Astyanax mexicanus: one gene and its partner. The protein of the gene in region 1 binds, or shares a complex with, the protein of each later gene. Links are inferred from orthologs where the notes say so. Each region holds a gene or a part of one and is shown in the gene's direction. Other genes may lie near its edges.

Region 1 (10,315 bases):
ATGCTGCTTAAATATAGTTGTGTTTATTGCCATTATGTTTCCATATGTTCCATCATTCAACTTACAGGTAAATGTTGTCAAAAGTGCCATCCTTCTCACATATGTTCAACACATGGTTCAGCATCTTTGTTCCTTTAAACAAACACCACAAAATTGAAATTAAGAAACAAACATGAAACATGTTCAATATAAACATTAATATACATTGTCCAAAAAAGTATGCTTTCCAGAGAACACTTTCTATTAGATTCTGGAGCATTTTGTGAGAATTTGATTGAACTCAGCAACAGGAGCGTTACCAACGTCAGGATGTTGACTGATAATCACCCCACTTCACCCACTCAGCCCAAAAGTGCTGTATGGAGCACCATCACTCCGGAGAACACAGTTTCTCAAAACGCTTTGGGGCTCCTCATGCCTACAGCCCATGTCTGGAATTAGGTATGGTGTCCTAGATTTGTGTTTATCTGCACCAAAACTCCTATTCTATTGGCAAGTTATGTTTGTTAAATCAATTATTTTAACATAATTTTAAATGGGTTGACATTTGACACAGATGCTATGGAATAGCTCTCAAACCATGCTTTCAACAAAATAGCCCTACCTATGCCCAGTCTGCGGTAGGGTGCTAGGCAGCCGAGTGTCATTATGTACAATCTCTTTTGGTTTTGGGAGTGATCCACCCTACAGCACACTGCCCCCACAGCAATGTCATTGAAGTATGCTGAAAAATAAAGAAACCAACATGAATAATGAAAATTACGATTATTAACTGTGCTCAGAAAATGTTCTAATTAAAATGTTTTAATACAGTAAACAACTGCATAAATCACAATAAAGAAAGAATTAGAACATTTATAATGTGCAAATACTTAAGTGCATTGTATCAAGTTGTTGATGGGATATTAGCCGTTTACACAAAGTTTTTTTTATATTACCTTGTTTTAGTTCTAGCAGTAGTTACAATATAAATAGTTTTCTGCACAATCCATCTTTGCTTTTCTTTCGCAATCTCTCTCTCACACACACGTTCAAACAAGTGATGAGCAATAAGTCTGTGTTATAAGCCTGCATCTACACAGTGAGTTCTCTCAGTCTTACCTAGCTTAGCAAGCTCTCCTACTTCCAGCACATCTTTGTAGAACTTGTCGTTGTAGCTGACAGGGAAGATTACTTGGTTCAGACGTTTCAGCTGTTTAATGTTGTGGGGGGTAACGTCCCCCAGCTCGATCCGGCTACTGGAACAAGAGCAGAACGGTCAACTGGTTGTTCATTACTTATTAGAATACATTTCGCTACACACTTTAAATAAGCAGTATGCCACTGTGCACAACCGCAAGACTTCATTTCAAGTTATTCTGAGCCCTCTCACAGACTCAGGCTTATTTCAATGGAATCAAACTAACCCAATTAGCTGTCTACGAGGATTTGACCCCACTGTCCCAGCACACTGTCACGACTATCAGTCGTAGTGTTCACCACAAGTTTGCGTCGCCTGCACTTGACACCAGAACTACAGAGGTATTTATAGGGCGACTGCATGCTAATGCACCATGACGACATAACAGCTGCATGTCATGTTTTTAGGCCTGCACTCCCACAGCCAGTGGTAGGAAAAGGTAAGAGAGGACAGCAAAAAGTTCACAATTTTTTTTAAGCATGTTGTATGCAAACAGCTTAACTTCTCAATTTGGTGTTTTTGTGTCAAAAAAACTAAATACACATGCATATACTGTACACACATACTTCCTCTCTTCTGGCAGCAGCATGGACTGTTTTTTAAATGAAGCACAACCAGTTAAATCACAGGTTATATGCATATAAGTCTTAAAGGCAGAATAACAAAACAGTGTTTATTTCTTAAGAGGCAAGCTATAAAAAGTATCCATTGTTTTGGCAAACCAACTTGCAAAAAACATTATAATGCATACTATGTATTTTGTATGTATTTTTTGCAATATCGCCCAGACTTATTTGCATGTCACCTCTTACAGTGCCAAAAGTGCCATTGTATTTTGCATGTATTTAAATCCTCCTCTTTTAGTCTTATAGACTAAGACATTAATATAAAATATGTAATTTTAACACTACACAAAAATGTGACACTAATTTTAACACAAAAAAAAGGAATTAGCTTAACTCAACTCGGGTTCTGTTTATACTTGTACTGTCATTCCCTCTTTAATCACACCCCCCTCACTATTGCACTATTGTCTTGTGTCTTTTGTCTCACGTATGTCTATCTGTGTCCTTGTTGTATTGTACATATAGTGTCTCCCATTCTTTAATATTTATAATCTTATTTTCTGTACTTTCTTGTAATCTTTTTGGGAAGGAGAGTAATGTAATTTCCTGTACACACGCAGTATTGACAATAAAACTACTTGACTTGAACTCAACTTGTATACATACATAATATTTCACTAGCTCAGCACAAAGTGACTAAAGGGACACTGACTGACAGAAAGAGCATCAGCACCAGATAGACATGGATTGAGCAGTGAAAGGGACATTCTGTGGGAACTGAGGTGACGTTAAATGCTGAATAAATAAAAAAAAAATACTGAGGTATCAGGCTTAAGAGTTCACAGGTGACACTAATCAGTAGGTAAACTAACTACATCACTAGACTGGACTCTGGTTCTGGAAGTAACGTAGCTAGCTTAGCTAGCTATGATAGCTAAACAACGTTTACCTGTGTATTTAACTTTGTCGACTGATTGTTGACTTAAAAAATCACTCCCGTCACTGTCTGTCATGTACTAGTGAACTGAATAACTAATATAACCTACAGCAATGCTCGTTAGCTTAGTTAGCTAGTTAACTAACTTGCTGCAAGCAGGTGGGGAATTTAGCTAGCCAACATATCTAGCTAAGCTAAGCTACGTTACCTAGCTACCACCTTTATTCACAAACTGTTTAGAACACAAATGGTTTATCTCAATGCTTGCTAGTTAACTAAACGTTCGGTTAGTGAAATATAAATACACATAATACTTATAAAGTTGGCTAGCTGAAGTAGTTGGTTACTTTGTCAGCTAAGAATGGGCAGACACATTTATTAGCTACTGTGGAGCAGGCATGGTTAGCTAGCGAATTAGCTAGCTATCTAGCTTAGCTTAGCTTAGCATGATAGCCAGCGATATAGCTTTTCATAGTCTGACTCAACATTTTCAGACTTCAGCTCAGGCTAAGCTAATAGACATCACACGGGGTTTTGCGGCGGTTTGGTGTATCTGCTGGGACCGTGGTTCGTGTAACAGCGGGTGGACTTTATTTGTACAGAGCACGTTTCAGTCTGTAAGGTTTTCTCAGTAAAATATTCAGGGTCCTCGGTGGTGAACGCTCCCCTCTCACCCCGCGCCGAGAGGCGGCTAGCGCGGCCAGCAGCTCCCCCTCCCCCTGCTGAAAGAAGAGAGGAGGAGGAGGGAAAAAACTTTTAGTCTCCATGAACAAACGCAGAGTTTTTACTCACCCTTTCATGTTGGAGAGAACACGTATAAGGTGAACGCTGCGAAGGACGTCGACAGTATATTTCCGATCCGGAGAAGATTAGTCCTAAGTTTGTGCAGAGCTACCCTCTCTCCGGACCCTCCACATGTATGTTGGCTAAAGGACTAGCAGCGCTCAACTCCGCCGCTGCTGTCACTCGTGAACGAGTCGCTTCTTCTGAGTCGGTTCTTTTGAGAAGATCAGTCGAATCGGTTCAAAAGTACCCCGCTGAATCTCGTGTTTGGCAGCTATTCGAGTTTTCTGCAACTGATGACTATTTTCGTTATTAACTGCTGTCCATACACTACACGACTGAAAAGACTCTGAAAAGACTTTTTAACAGAATGAAGTCTGACATCCTCTCACATTAATTGTTTAAAGATAAGTTTTCTGATTTGTCAGTCATTATTTCTGTTTCTATCTTTCTCTATGGCTTCAAATAGCTGAATGAGGGAAGACATTTAAAAATGGGAAATGTTCTGATATTCACTGAGAAAATAAACTAGTGTCATTCAGTTTAAAATGTGAAACTCATATTATATAGATGTAAAACACACAGTGTGCTCTATTTTACATCCAATAAAAACCCAAACATCATTGTCTCAGAAAATTAGAATATTATATTAGACCAAATGGTACTTTTGGCAGTGTAAAATCCACATCTCCATAAAAGTTGTCAGCAGGGCATGAAAACACTGCACCGACTTCAACACCAGCAGATGACATGACTCTCCAAACCATCACTGATTGTGGAAACGTTACACAAGACCTCAAGCAGCTTGACTGTGTGTCTCTCCACTCTTCCTCCAGACTCTAGTTCCTTGATTTCCAAATGAAATGCAAAATTTACTGAGGGTCAGTGATGGTTTGGAGGGACATGTCATCTGCTGGTGTTGGTCCACTGTGTTATATCAAGTCCAAAGTCAAAGGTAGTGTTTTCCCAGAAAATCTTACAGCACTTCATGCTTCCCTTTGCTGACAACATTTATGGAGATGCGGATTTCATTTTCTAGTAGGACTTGGCACACTGCCCACACTGCCAAAAGTACCAATTGGTCTTATATAATATTGTATTTTTCTGAGACAGTGATTTTTGGGTTTTCATTGGCTGTAAGCCATAATTATTGACAATAAAAAAATAAATGCATAAAATAGATCATTCTGTGTGTATTACATCTATATACGAATTTCACATTTTGAACTAAATTACTGAAATGGAGTAACTTTTCAATTACATTTAATTTTTTAGAGATGCACTATTATACTCGGTTGTGTCTGTCAATATCTTTTATTTCATGTCATAAGGAGTTTATTAAAAAATAGCCTGACACCGTTCTTTTTACTGAGCTGTTTTATGTTTTCTTCTGTTAAACGTACAAAAACATACATATCTTAACACACGTGACAAAACTTACTTTAAATAGTTTAGTTATCAAGAGAGACCAGATCTAACAGTAATAAAAGTTGGTATAACTTGGTTTCTGCTGTGTGGAGGACATTAGAATAAAGTTGGCATGACTCATAAATCAATGAATCGCTGACTCGGACGTTTGATGCATTGAAACAAAACGTTCAGCTCAAAGAACCGGTTCGATTCACTGAATCGAACTTCACATCCTGCACAAGCGGCGGGGAGACATAAAGCACAGGACGTGGCGTACATTATGGAAGCTTTCAGTATACAAAATAAAAGTCCCTGACAGGTAAGGTGAAATCAGAGCCATCTCTATGGCTCAGTGACACCTCTGGGTGAAATGCGGGTCGGATAGAAAAGTTAGTTCTTTTTTTTATATATTTAAAATAAGTTACTTAAAATACCTTAGCATAGGTTTCCGAAGAAAATACTTATAATAACGCTATCTAACAAATTCGATATTTAGCAACAATTAATTTAAGTGTGCAATGTTGTAAGTTACCTGATACCTATTTTACAAAATGTAAACGTTATTGAACTTAATCTTTTAAAATTAGTATAAACATTACAGTAAATTTGTATAGTTTTACATGCTTCTTTATTACTGCAAAAAATAAAAAATAAAATCCAGCTCAAGATCATCCAGAAAAAACATACCCTATGCTGGTAAAGAGCTAGTTAATTTTAAGAAAAATGAAACGGTTAATCTTCTTTTGATCTTTCAGATTTGTCATTTCTTGTATCTTGTAACACAAACCTGATAGTAAAGAAATTCCGATTGTGAGGGGCAAAGGTGAAAAAAATCTAAAAAGGGAAAAATGGATGAAGGCTTATTTCTGCACAACATTAAAAAAAGACAAATAATGAGTTTTACATACAATTATCCATTTTTGCATTTAGCCTCAAACACGTCGTTATACTGACCGTATAGCAGTAGGTGGCGCAGTGAAGCTCCATCTCTGAGCACCGCGCACTACAACCATCGAGTGAATGAAGTCAGCTGACCCTTCCTGGTTGCTGATTTCTCATCATTATTTTCAGCTGAACGGACTCGACAGATCGCTGCTTCTCCTCATCATTTCAGGTATTTAGTGATTGTAGTTTGATGTCAGGGTTATTTTATTCCTCGCTGTGTTTTGATTCGGTCGGTTTAAGGCGGCCTCGGCTGCAGGTAGCCAGCCTGCTACGTTCAGTGCTTTTTCTCGGTCGTATTCCATTGACGTTAACTGCGGTCAAAATGCTTTAAATGAACTATGGTAGCTTTTGCGGGAATTGGCTTAATTTCTCTATTTACAGATTTAACACGGAATGGTAGTTGGTTAAAATGGCTGAAATTTGTGTGTGACTGAAATTAGCTGCTTAATCGCCTGGTTCTTGTTGGAAATTTCCGTTCCACCTTAAATAGGGCATTAGATAAGTACACGATCCTGAAGCATGTTGATGGAACCAATGCAGTATTTAAGGTGGAACGGCGGTGGTCGAATATGAAACTGGCGATTTTTTTGCACCTCCCCCATTATAACCTTGGGAAACTACAAGCTCGCCCCAGGATTGTATACATACACGATGCAGTCTCTGATTAATATTAATTAATTTATCATTTTTATTATACACATATGTAGTAGGTAATGCGCTTAACGTTACACTACGTTTAAGTCATCTCGTTAAATGTAAAGCAGGAGGAAATTCCATCACACCAGTTTTACATGTTATTAATTATTGTAACATATTTAAAATTGACATGTTTAAAAAGTATCTATATTGCGCTGTATTGATGTCATTTATTTGTAAGATAGAATCGCAGTAAATGTTATCAGTAGCCTGTCATGGTCATGTGACTGGACAGTGCTGAGACTTGCAGTCACTGTGCTTGGGCCCAAATACTAGACTGCAGCATTCTGCCAGCTATAGCACTGCTCAAATATGCTGTTTCTTTATGTTTTGACTGGCAAAGCTTATAACGAGGTAACCAATACACACACGATCAGGTTTCTGTCTGGAGATCATGTTGCTTTACCAGGAGAGAATCCGTCCATACCCTACATCATGTGTTGGTTGATCACATGGTAGGATGGTGGGTGGTAATGCCAGAAATATTAAGATACTTTAAGAAATGCATGATGATATTTAACTTTCTGTGTTTTTTTTTTCTGAACAAGTACCACAAAGCAGTAACAGCACATTAAAAAAAGCTGAAAACAAGCCATTGGTTAAAAATATATTGAATTAAATGAGTGTCATAATTGGATGTCAAATCAGCAGTTTTTGCAGTTGTTACCATTTGTTTGTTGTTCTTTAAAGGCTTGATCTTAATCTGTCTTTTTACGATTAATTTATTCATTTAGACGTACATATCACACTCCAAATATAGCTTAGCAAAATCTGTCATGGTCTAATTTATCATGTTGCACTTAACATATATCACCCATTCTTAATGACAAATTAGCCTGATTTTTGTTGGCTTGATTAAATTTAAAAGCGCATATATTGAAAAAAATGAGACATCTTACATTAGAATTTGTTGCATGAGAGGGTCTTTTAGTTTTTTTGTAACGATTTGCACATGTAGTTTTAGTGGTTGTTTTTTCATATATTGTATTTTATATGAAACATTAGAAAACTACTGAGAACTAAAACTGCTTGGTTTGGTTGTTTCCCTACAGCTATTAATGCTAATCTTGGGGATGAGTGCAAACTCTCCAGAATTACTCAACTGTCTGTTTAGCCCCTTCCTCTTTACAGCCAGTCACGGTAATCATCATGTGACATTTCTGTATCACTGCCCCAGAAATATCACACAATCTGGTGCATATATAACTGTTCATATAAACTAAGAGGATTTTTGTATTAATAAACTTTACTTAAATATTGAACAAGCCTTAAGGTGTGTGTGCATGAATAAATGAATAAATATATAAAATAAACTCTCATTATCAAGTTTAATTACTATATTCAATAGTTTGTGCTTTTTAGTACAAATTATGCTCTGACATCTTTGATTATTGATCATTAATAATTAGGTAGGTCTACTTCTGTGATGAAAGAATTTAGTGTAAAGTTAGACTTTCTGTAACTGTCCATCCAGCTTTAAAAGTCACAAGTTAACCCACAATAGGAGAAATCAAACAAATGGAGAACAGAAACCCTCTAATGCTTCACAGGAATATTTTTGTTTCTTTTTGCATAAAGCTTGAGGACATTCTCAGTTTAAAAGCTGACAATTAAAAGCTTTAATTTTTGCTTATGCTATAATCTGATGTAATCTAATACCTCTATAATTGTCAGTAATCTGTTGTATTTCACTAATGGTGCCCACCTTCACATTCTGTCTGCATTTTAGACACACACTTCTAAGATGGACTTCTCCAAGCTGCCCAAGATTCGAGATGAGGAGCGGGAGGGACAGTTTGGATATGTGCACGGAGTGTCCGGACCTGGTCAGTAATCTGTCTATAGTGTGGAATGACAGTAATGTTTTTTTCTTTTTTTTTTCCAATTTACTCAATGCTTTATTTGTCAGTCAGATTGATTAAGTGTGCGCTGCTGTCGCAAAAATATGGATTGATGTGTCCTGTATGTGTTATGCAAAAATGTAATAGCAATATTTTTGGCCCTTTTAGTTTAATTTTTAGCCGGGCCATATTTAATCACTGTATTTCTGAATAACACATTTTAACATTCTAATCATTTTCAGTACTATTTATCTTACTTTTAGTGTCAGCTAAATGACTAAGTAAGATCTTTTCTTTATTTATTTTGTTACATTTCTGGTAATTAAATTAGAATTATATCTATGTATAACCAGTATGGTTTTAAATTATTGACATAATTGTTCCTGAATTTTGCAGTTTGTGCATTTTAAAGTTGTTGTACTGCTTTGCTCTATAGGTCATAGTACATGATTTGCTACATGTAAGTGACCTGTATCTGTGTGTGTCCCTCACAGTGGTGACGGCCTCCAGCATGGCTGGGGCAGCTATGTACGAGCTGGTGCGTGTGGGCCACAGTGAGCTGGTGGGAGAGATCATCCGTTTAGAGGGTGACATGGCCACTATTCAGGTGTATGAGGAAACCTGTATCCTTTTATACCCATTCAGCACCTACTGCACTTATAACCTTATAGTAAACTGTATTGTATAGTATAGTGTGCTCTATTACATATGTATTCTAGCTTAGAAAGTTGAAGATTATCACTGAAGATTTGAGTCACTATAATAGATCATTTACACATTCTAGCTGTAATACTTTAAACTGTGTTAGATTTCCTAAGCCTTTTCCAGCTGGTGTGTCTGTTGGAGACCCTGTCCTGCGTACAGGGAAGCCCCTCTCTGTCGAGCTGGGACCAGGAATTATGGGCTCCATATTTGATGGTATCCAGCGTCCCCTGAAGGACATCAATGACCTGACCAAGAGCATCTACATCCCCCGTGGAGTGAACATTGGTGCTCTGAACCGCGACCTCAAATGGGATTTTTCTCCATCCAAGAGTTTACGAGTATGTGCCTGAATGTAGATTGTGAGAATGACTTTAACTGCAAGGATCTTGGGAAGAACATGAAGTAAATAGTGTGTTAATTGACATAATCAGGACATTTTTGAGATATATAGCACCTCATTAACCTGCCATGATCATAAATTCCTAATTTCTGTTTAGCAGTCTGAACATTCACCACAAGAGTGCGCTGTTTGTTCTCAAATAACTTTCGGTGCTTAGCGTCACTGTCCCCTTGTTTGTCAAATAATCCAGCCGTTATATCTATCCAGTTGATGTCTCGTGCCATAAATGGGATCAGTATGTAAAAAAAGATTAGTTTCTTATTGCAGCCGGTAGATATGACCTTCATTTTTTTTAAAGGCTTGAACAGCAAAACAATAATAAAATTAAAAATGTCTAATTACAAAGTAGTAAGGCTTTAAGATTTTTTTGTTGGTTCTCCTGCCTTCAGTAATTGAAAGGATTAACTTGTATTACTCAATTCACTGTTTTAACTTATGACTAAGAAGCATGTGAATAAAAATATCAACAGTAAGAAAAACATAGGCAGACATTACTGGAAGTATGTTTTTAAGCACTGCTTAAACTCAAAGTACTCAAACTTTTTCCCACAGGTAGAAACAAACAGCTAACATCACATTAAAGATTAAACAGGCCTAGTGTGCTCACTTTGTAATAGAATTGGATTATTCTTTTATCGATATTGTATTTATTGGTAGTATTTATAGTATATCTATTTATATCATATTCCACAAGGAAAGATTTAAGACAGTTTTCCTACTGACACATTTCTCATAGGGCTACCTCATAATATTATTATTTTAAATATATTTTCTATTGATTTAGTTAATAGTTAAATATTTTCTTTAAATGCACTCTTTTGTCTTCTTCCTCAGATTGGAAGTCACATAACT
Region 2 (9,838 bases), about 10 Mb from region 1:
CAGTGCGGCCCGCGAATAGATCAAAAATAATTTCATAATTTCATAATTTAAAAAAAAAAACAAAAAAAAAACGTAATTCTACTTTTGACCGCTAGAGGGCGCTGCCAAACAACCACGAAAATTGACATTGACATCCAGTCCATTGTGAGCCAGCAGGCCAAACCACAGCTCTCTCATTAGCTTCAATAAATGTTGGGCCTCTGTGGTCTAGTTTTCTGCTATTATTGAATGAGCTATTTGCAATCAGTTTTTAAATCTTTTTTGTTCTTTGTTATAAATGAGTTCAAATGCCTTTTGCACATTTATAAGCAAATGTTTTGTCCTTGTTGCTTATGAAGGACTTGTTATAATGAACTTATTTTACACAGAGGAACTACTGTATTTGCAATCGGTTTTTTAAGCAAACTTCTTTTTTGCACTTTTTTTAAGCAAACGGTTTGTCTTTTGCCGTATTAAAATGCATTAATATGCAGAAAATAGTTGTTGATAAATGTTGGTGCTGTAAACATACAGATATAAGTTCATATAAAATTTGTTCTTATTGAAAATCATTTGTAGTGTTTTTCATATTCAATTATTTGAAGTGCGAGGTCATGTGGCCCTCCAATGGTCATGCTGAAAAAAATGTGGCCCTCTCCATCATGGAAGTTGCCCATCCCTGTTTTAGAGCATGAACAACATATTCACTGGCCAATAACATACCTCATTGCTACAATAGTAATATGAGTGCTGGACAATACAACTTTAATAACCATCTTAATAACTCTAAATATCAGTTTTATATGATATTTAAAGACTTTTTTTAATGATGCACTGTATTTATCCCAATGTTTTGACACAGACAAAATTTATCCGCAGTGGTAGATTCTGAAAAAAATCTATTCAAATACTCTTTCATGCACAGTACAGTGATATTTATTCAGTTTTCCTGCACATCATCCAAATAACATTTTTTACAATGCTTGCAATGAAACAGTTAAATGTGTGTTTTTAAGGCACCAACAGCATCCTTTATTATGCTTATTAAAGCATACATGATGAGTGAATGTATCACAATACAATAAAATCAATAATATAAGTTAATCATTATTCACATACACTTTCAATGTCATTATGAACACTGACATTGAAGTTGAATAATTATGCTAATTGCCCCATGGTTAGCAATGGCTTAGTAATACTAATTGTTACACTGATCTGTTGATCAGGAATGATGTGGGATTTTACATGATTTTGACACTGAAATTACTACTGGGTTTGGAACCCAAGCCCATTTGAGTTTTAAGATTTTAAAATCATTTCTTACTTAATTCACAAGTTACCAGGATTACTACTAAAAAAACACGGCTTTACGTCCCAGGCAAATCTTCAGATGTTTATCCTGTGAAACTGGGTTTACGAGTCTGATAACCCAAATAAGCCCATAGTGATGTGTGTGTCACAGACCATTTAAAAGATGAGTTAAGTCCCTTACAGTACTTTCTCAATCATTTTATCTCATGAAGAACCTCTGGCATATACTGATCATTCTGAAAGCATCACAGGACAGTGTGTGGAAGTGTGTTTGTTTATCTGGACTTATTTACAGAACGCAGAAGTGCTGCTGCTGGAGATAAACCTCTCTTATTTAAAATGTGTGTTTTTGCTTTTACAGCTCCACTTTAACCATACAAGTAATGAAATTGTTGTTGTGTCATTTAAGTTACATCATGGTTTTAATCTTAAAATATTTACAGTCATGCACCCACAGTAATAATAATAAAAAAAGAAAACTAAACAAGAATGAGCTTCTTACTGAATTTATCTGATTGGTATCAATATTCAGAAATGGGTCTGGGTTCTATAATGGGTTAATCATAAATGAATTGGAGAAATGGGCTGGAAATTACTGACTAATAATGTAGTGTGAACTTTAATGAATAATTGTCTCACTAGTGCTAATTACACTGACTAGTAGATCAGGAATGATGTGGAAAAACATGATTTTGACGTTGGAATTGGTACTGCATTTTGAGTTTCAAGACCTGAAAATACTTTCTCACTTAATTCACAAGCTAGCAGGATAAATACCTACAACCTGGCGTTAGTATCCAGGCAAATCCTCAGATGATAATCCTGTGAAACTGGGTTTAATGGTCTAATAATAAGATATTACAATCAATAGAGCCTAGTTAACTAAATAACCCTCATACAGGGTGGAGCTGCTGTTCAGTATTAAACCAGAGTTAAACTACAGAACCGGTTCAGTCGAGTCTAGTTAGATGGGTTAGTTAGTCCAGCTGTACTGTATTCTGTCTCTGAAGCTGGTGATATGTATAGGTATCTAATGATACCCATAGATCTGTTATTGTATCAGTGGCTGAGCTGAGCTGCACCACTCAGTCTCATTGAGCCCATGCGGTTCAGCAGATAGCTCGGCTAGATAACACATTTCTGCTTCTAGATAAATAAATACTGAATAAAACCGGCCCGCCGCGAGTTCCAGAGAGTGGTGTTACCTGAAGCGAGTCGTCCCCGGGAGCGCGGTTAGTCTAGAGTCTGTTTCTGGGCGGTAATTGTAAATTTTGATGAGAAAAGGCTCCGTAAATCAGGAGTTCGCCATGGATCCACAGCACAGAGAGAGAGTTACATCATGGCGCCGCGCGAAGTAACTTCAACATAAAAGTCCTTAATAAAAGTTTTCATTTTTTAAATATTTGTGTTTTTATATTAATAAATAAAAATAAACAGTTACATACAAACACTAATAAAATAATAATAAAAATAATCACAATTTGAAATATTACATCAAATATCAGATTACAGGATCCTCATGTGGTTTATACACCACATCCTTACTAGTTACAGCATGGACAACATATCCACTGGCCAATTTCACACCTAATTGCTATAAAAGTAATACAAATTAAATGCTGGACAAAACGTCCATATCTCTATCACAACAAATCTTAATATCACTTTATATAAAATTCTGAACAGTATGAATGCCACTGCCTGAAGTATATAGAATCACACAGTTATAGGTGTAAAATATTATATGATATTTTTATTATACACTGTATTTATCGCAATGTTTTGACACACAGACAAAATGCATCAGCAGAGGTCGATTCTTAAAATCATCTATTCCAATACTCTTTCATGCAGAGGACAGTGATTTTTATTTAGTTTTTTTTTCCTGCACATCATGCAAATAAACAATATTTTTACAATGTTAATAATGAAACACAATTAAATTGGTGTTTTTAAGGTACCAGCGGTAATAAAATAACCTGAAGGAAAAAAAATATATATTTTTACGAGGAACGCTACAAATTTGACAAATAAATGCAACGTGACCCAGCTAGCTAGCTAGGTTTTACAGTAAATGTATAATCATTAGTTCTATTAACAGTCAGTATAAATAAAATCAATTAAGAAATTTCTATTAAAAAACACCGCGTTTGTCGGGCCACCAGAGGGCGCTCCAGAGCGAGTTCAAAATGAATGGGCTTATATGGAGCAATTTAACAGTTAACGTTATAGTTTATAAATGTTTAATCACCGTTATACTGAAAACTGAAACAATATCTAACATTTTTCAAACGAAGACAAGGATATCAAATACTTAAAACTGTAGATATAAACCTTTTAAAACTGTCTCTGACTCTGACTGTAACTCCAGCATCAGCCCACCAACCAGTCAGAAGACAGTAACAGTAATGCTAGCGCATTAACTGCCTAAAACCAGTGTACTGTAGATAAATGGACAGGTATACATATAGCAAAATGCATCTTTATACTTTCATAAATTAAAAGAATACCCTGCATTAGTTACTTTTTTGTTTTATTTATAGATTTTCTTTGAAAGACAAAATTAGAAGAAACAAGTCATTTTAATCCTACTGTTTCCAAAGTAAACTTAATTTTTTATCCTTTTTCAACTCTGGATCTAATAAAACATATATTGGTCAATCTCAGGCAGCTTTATTTGATTTTCTACAAGGAAGATACATTTAATAAGTATGTTTAAAAGAAGCAAGTGCACTAATTACTTTGATTTTAATTAAATGGTTGACTGCATGTTTAAAGTTTAAACAATAGGCCCTTTTAATCCTGCCCCCTAAAGCAATATATACGTAGATCCATATCACTAAAACTTTCTCTGTTTTGCATGCCCTTAATGAATATGCCAAGGAGGGCAGCGCCTTTCTCTCTTTCTCCCTCTCTTTTACACACCTGATTGGGGAAAAAAACTGTGTTGCCTGCGTGCACGTTTGTGTTCACGCCGTTATTGATATGCGGTAGACTCCCGCCACTTTCAGAAGACTTGGGAAGTCTGTACACAAAACATAGCATAAAGATGTATATAAAATGCTCATATACATAAACATATATAATATGCATCACCTGTATCTATGAATAACACAGTCACATGCATATGTATCCATGCATAATTATATCTTCACAAAATAATAACACAAAAAAATGTCATGAAGAAATGTGACCTACACACATGATAAGTGAACACTTTATATGTTTTGTATTGTTTATAACCGGTGACTGTACCAAATTGTTAATAGCCTAGACAAATTAAACATCACTATAAGTTGTTTTTCATTCATATTATTTACTATTTTTAATTGAAGGTTTTAGCAATTTAGCTCAATTCACTTCTATTCATTTTGGACTCACTCGCGGGCTCCCTCTAGCGGTGGTTACAGTGGTTCACTGACAAATAACAGAGGCGATATACAGGAAGTGTGCAGTTCCTCCATAAGCCGCCTCTGCCCTTACAGCTATCGGTTACACACACTTCAAAATAAAAGTTTAGGTAAAACTGTACTGTTTTAAATATATATTATATATATATTATGAATCGATCAATCTGTGTTAATAAGAAAGCTTACTGCTACATTAAATCGTAAAATAAACCCAAGCTATGTTTTAATAATGATAATGATCATAGGTTGTGTTTAGTGTTTTGCTGAAGGCCGCTGGTCGTGAGTCACATGACCCGCTGTGAGCTGTAATGTGATTTTCAGTGAAACAGTGAAGCCGAGCGCCGCGTTCCTGCGAATAAAACCTACATGCGAACAGAACAGGCCACAGGTCGAGCAGAAAACCCCGCTTTATAAACACACAGACCCGCCGGGATCAGGAGGAAAACGACGAGATGTCGGGCAAAGACCGGATCGACATTTTCCCTTCGAGGATGTGAGTAAAGCGAGAGAGAGCTGTGCTGTGCTGTTAGAGATACAGACTACAGGACACGAATTAATCAACATAACATAACCTTTAATTTACTGTTTAGACTCCAATATACTCTAATATCTAATAATTAAACTATAATAACTGTGCTGAATGTTATTAATGCTGGGGTTGATCTAAATATAAAACTGACCATTGATTAACGTTACACACACATTATTATTATTTTTGTATTATTTTACTACACTGTAGCAGTCAACTAGCCATATAAATAGAATAAAGGACCAGTCTGCAGTGTGTTTATTCTACAGTGGTATTCTAAGGACCACCAGCAAGGTCATTATAAGACTCTCTGAGGGTAATTGTGCAAATAAAAAATATTTTTGTGCAGATTAAATACGTGTATACAGTCCCTCTAAAGGGTGTGTTAAAATATTGTATTTTCAGAATTTAGACTATAAGAACAGTGTTTGAAATAACTCCCCACAGAAAAACAGAAGTGTATTATTCAGGATCATGTGATGTGAGGCTCTGGCCATAGAGGAACATCCACAGGGGGGAAAGGGTTTGAAGCTGAAGAGCTTAAAGGGTAGTTGTAGTTGTCATTATTGTGATAACCAATATTATTGTCATTTTAAAACCATTTAAATGACACTGACATAATGATACTAGAATAGCATAACGAAGCATTCATATTCTTTTGAAGACAATACAATTGTAAGTAGTCATAGTTTGGGGTAAAAAAAAAAAAAAAGGTCACACACACTAATATTTTGTTGGACCGCCTTTAGCTTTGATTGCGGCACACGTTCACTGTGGCATTTTTGCATTAATCTTCTGCAATGTCACAAGATTTATTTCCATCCAGTGTTGCATTAATTTTTCTTCAAGATCTTTTATTGATGTATTGATGATGGTATCGTCTGACCGCTGCTCAAAGTCTTCTCCAGCACATCCCAAAGATTCTCAATGAGGTTCAGATCTGGACTCTGGAATCCATGTGTAAAAATAATGAGCTCATGATTCCTGAATCACACTTTCACAATTCCAGAACAGTGAATCCTGACATTGTCATCTTGGAATATGGCCGTGTCATCAGGGAAGAAAAAAACGATTGATGGAATAAGCTGGTCTATATTCAGTATATTCAGGTAGTCAGCTGACCTCGTTCTTTCAGCACAAACTGTTGCTAAACCTAAACCTGACCAACTGCAGCATCAACCCCACATCATTTTTTTTGGCCTGGCAGTGTATTTACTTTTTTAGTTACCTAACACAGTCCACAGTGTGTATGTGGTGTCACTGTTTTTGAAGCATTGGTCATTGAAGCATGGAAACTGGCAAATATACTGTTTACTGTGAACAAACATACAAATAAGCACAATATACAATATCACTATTATAAAATATTATTGAGGTCATGTCCATTTACTGTAAGATAAGTTAATAATGTAATTATTGTGACAAGTCTAGTCAGTAGGGTTGTAGTGGACCTGATACTACAAGTCCAGTACCATGTGCAGAACATTCTCATTAATATTAGTTTTTTTTTATTTGTATTTACTACATTGTAGCTTAAATGTCAATTTATATATAAAATAAACAGGGTGAAAAAGAGTTTGTTTTGGTTTAAAATTGTTTATTGTAGAGAAGTGCATTGATGCTGATTTCGTGGTGGTGTTAGGAACTGGGGGGTAACCATGTGAATACAGAAAATATAGTCCTTTTATTTACTGTCTGCAACCACCAGTGATTCTGTGCACGTCCTCTTAGCTGTATATGTAATGTTAAAGATGGAAATGGAGTATTTTGTAGGGATTAATTTGAGATCACCAAGTGTATATTTACTGCAACACAGTCCAATAAACTCTTTAACTGTTGATAAACAGTGTCTAGACATCAAATGACGAATTCATAATAATTTCTGAGGGGGAGCTTTTAAACACATAAAACTCTTTAAGCATTTTGTTCCATTCACCACCACTGTGAACAAGTCTGACTAAGCAAGTTCCTCTTAAACTCATGAACACAAAAGCAAATGACTGTTGTTGCACACTGTATTTTTAATTGTATAATTAATGACTGTTTGTGTCGATGGTTTTAGGGCTCAGACCATTATGAAGGCTCGACTGAAAGGAGCTCAGACAGGGAGGAACCTGCTGAAGAAAAAAGCTGACGCCCTTTCCATGCGTTTCCGGCAGATTCTCAGGAAGATCATTGAGGTAGAAACATGAGAAAATAAATATTTTAAATGCTTATATTAATGAGTATGTCATGCTGTAAACATGTAATAATGTGAGAAAAAATGTAAATAGCTGTAAATATTTTTTCATTGCTTACCCTGTTTCCCTTTGTTTCTTAGACCAAGACGCTGATGGGAGAAGTGATGAGAGAAGCTGCTTTTTCTTTAGCTGAAGCCAAATTTGCTGCTGGTGACTTTAGGTATGAGCAGCTTGCGCTTATATTTAATGTTAATGATAATGTGTTTGTGAAAGTAAGTTTGACTCCTGAGCTCATGGATGTGTGTTTGTCTCAGCACTACGGTTATCCAGAATGTGAACAAGGCCCAGGTCAAGGTTCGAGCCAAAAAGGACAATGTTGCAGGTCTGAATAAACTTCATTTAAATTTGCTTCACTGAGAAATTGCCAAGGAATTATTAAGTTCAAACCTCAACTAGTTTTAGTTTTGTTAACTTAAATGTTTTTCAGCAGATTTTAAAATGTTTGTATTATTTTTTTATGCATGAATAACGGCCCTAACTGTATTTTGCTTCATTTGCCCCCCAGGTGTGACTCTGCCTGTGTTTGAGCACTACCAGGAGGGAGGAGACAGTAAGTTTGGATAAAATTATATGGTCTCACACAAATTACAGTGCATACAATAATTGAACCACATCACAAACATCAAATGTTCACATTTCACACACTCTATAGGTTATGAACTGACTGGTCTGGCCAGAGGTGGAGAGCAGCTGTCCAGGCTGAAGAGAAACTACGCTAAAGCTGTAGAGCTGCTGGTGGAATTGGCCTCTCTGCAGGTAGGGGGTGCTGGAGTTATCTATTAAATATCATTAATACATGAAGCTGAAATGGAGAATTTCTGTTGAGGGTGACTGTCCATCAACATTGTGTCCCAGGTTGATTTAGTGTTTGGTTTATAGGTTTCTATGAAGGCTTTGTGTAAAAGTTTCACACTATGACTTTTTGTATACACATTATTTACCACAGAAAAATTTAACTCAACGCAGAATAGGATCAAATATTTAAACTCTTCATAATGTTGGTGAAAGGAGAACTCAGGCAGTAATGTTTTCAGTAATCAGCTCACAGTTGGTTTTACTGAATCTGGAAACTTTTAATCTCCTGCAATAAAAAAAAGATAAATTGAATAGGGTGTGTGGTCTGTGGTGTCATGTAAAAATTGTCACACTAAGCTGGGGCTTGTGTGACTGGTGTGTGTGAAAGAACAGCTGTTAAGAGGAATACATTTGATTAAAATAATTGTTTATTTAGTTGTAGGCAGTTTAATGCAATAAATGAAATTAAATATTACTTTATTATTAACTATATCATATCAGTAATAGACATTATGAATTAAGCAGCGCACAGTACTTGATAGCTCTTTGTTATGTCTATTTAAAAATACTTTTATTTAACATTTAGCAATATTATATAACTTGGCTGTATCTGAGTTGAACATTCCAAGTGGTAATTATGAGCTGGAGGGGTTGGGAAATTCCCAGTTCCATCTTGGTCATAAACAGCAGCATGCGTTTGGCTTTAGTAGCCTTTTGTTGGCTTTGAATATCATCCTCTGACAAGTCTCCATGTCTTCAGTGATCACTTTGACTGATTTATATATGACTGTACCATGGAGATTAAAAAAGGTATATGTAGTAACTTATTTTGTCTGTTGCTCAGAGTAAAACTGCTAGCAGGGGCAGCAGACATTACTATTGGACTTTTCCCCCAATATTTATTTATTTATTTATTTATTTTTTTGCAGACCTCTTTTGTCACCTTGGATGAGGCCATCAAGATCACCAACCGCCGTGTGAATGCTATTGAGCATGGTAAGCAGAAAGATCACCAGGCTTAGCAGAATATTTATAAAGACATTCAAACATTCACATGGATACAGTGTAATGTGTTAGTTTGTTTTTAAAATTTAGAATTCTAAATATGATTTTCAATGTGTAAAAAAATGTGCTAAGAAATTTTGTCCAGCCCTACATTTAACAATGCATTTTTTCCCTCTTTTCCTCAGTGATTATCCCACGTATCGAGCGCACTCTCACTTATATTATCACTGAGCTGGATGAGAGAGAAAGAGAAGAGTTTTATAGGTGGGTCATGCTATGTTTGGACTCATTTAATAGGTTCACGTAATTAAATATTTGTTTATTTCTATTTTTTTTTCTATTAATTGTTTTAGAGCATGCACATTGTCAAATATTTAAATGTCAAAATATTTAAATTTTACTTTTTACTTCTTTCACATTCATGTTGTGTGGGGATAAATAGACTGTTTTAATTTCTATTAATTACCATTAAGATAGACATGTGTTAAGATCCATACTCATTGGCTGGCCTGTATTATGGCTTAGCTGAATAATGTAAGTGTGAATAAGTGGACAGATTTCTTTTT

Evidence for each region.
Region 2: the proteins of atp6v1ab (region 1) and atp6v1d are in contact, whole or in part, in a cryo-EM structure (PDB 9B8P), measured with the Rattus norvegicus proteins. The link is inferred for Astyanax mexicanus from reciprocal best matches to the Homo sapiens genes ATP6V1A and ATP6V1D. Residues at the interface, in NP_001101788.1 of Rattus norvegicus: Ala366, Met368, Pro369, Ala370, Asp371, Ser372, Asp416, Ser418, Asp436, Lys438, Glu491, Gln494, Leu495, Val496; in NP_955418.1 of Rattus norvegicus: Lys4, Asp5, Arg6, Arg167, Ala171, Val175, Ile176, Arg179, Tyr186, Glu190, Arg194, Glu197, Tyr200, Arg201, Lys204, Ile205, Lys208.

Annotation. Positions count from the first base shown.
Region 1 is NC_064408.1:95,983,115-95,993,429, reverse strand, and holds the start of atp6v1ab (V-type proton ATPase catalytic subunit A), read left to right. Parts: upstream 1-5,863; 5' UTR 5,864-5,990; intron 5,991-8,246; 5' UTR 8,247-8,261; coding exon 8,262-8,343; intron 8,344-8,852; coding exon 8,853-8,981; intron 8,982-9,186; coding exon 9,187-9,401; intron 9,402-10,297; coding exon 10,298-10,315. Other genes in the region: naa50 (N-alpha-acetyltransferase 50), read right to left, coding at 66-132, 605-724, 1,102-1,238, 3,476-3,483. UniProt on the Homo sapiens protein: Catalytic subunit of the V1 complex of vacuolar(H+)-ATPase (V-ATPase), a multisubunit enzyme composed of a peripheral complex (V1) that hydrolyzes ATP and a membrane integral complex (V0) that translocates protons.
Region 2 is NC_064408.1:85,780,507-85,790,344, reverse strand, and holds the start of atp6v1d (V-type proton ATPase subunit D), read left to right. Parts: upstream 1-4,983; 5' UTR 4,984-5,155; coding exon 5,156-5,196; intron 5,197-7,294; coding exon 7,295-7,412; intron 7,413-7,552; coding exon 7,553-7,632; intron 7,633-7,726; coding exon 7,727-7,794; intron 7,795-7,977; coding exon 7,978-8,022; intron 8,023-8,124; coding exon 8,125-8,228; intron 8,229-9,196; coding exon 9,197-9,263; intron 9,264-9,457; coding exon 9,458-9,536; intron 9,537-9,838. UniProt on the Homo sapiens protein: Subunit of the V1 complex of vacuolar(H+)-ATPase (V-ATPase), a multisubunit enzyme composed of a peripheral complex (V1) that hydrolyzes ATP and a membrane integral complex (V0) that translocates protons.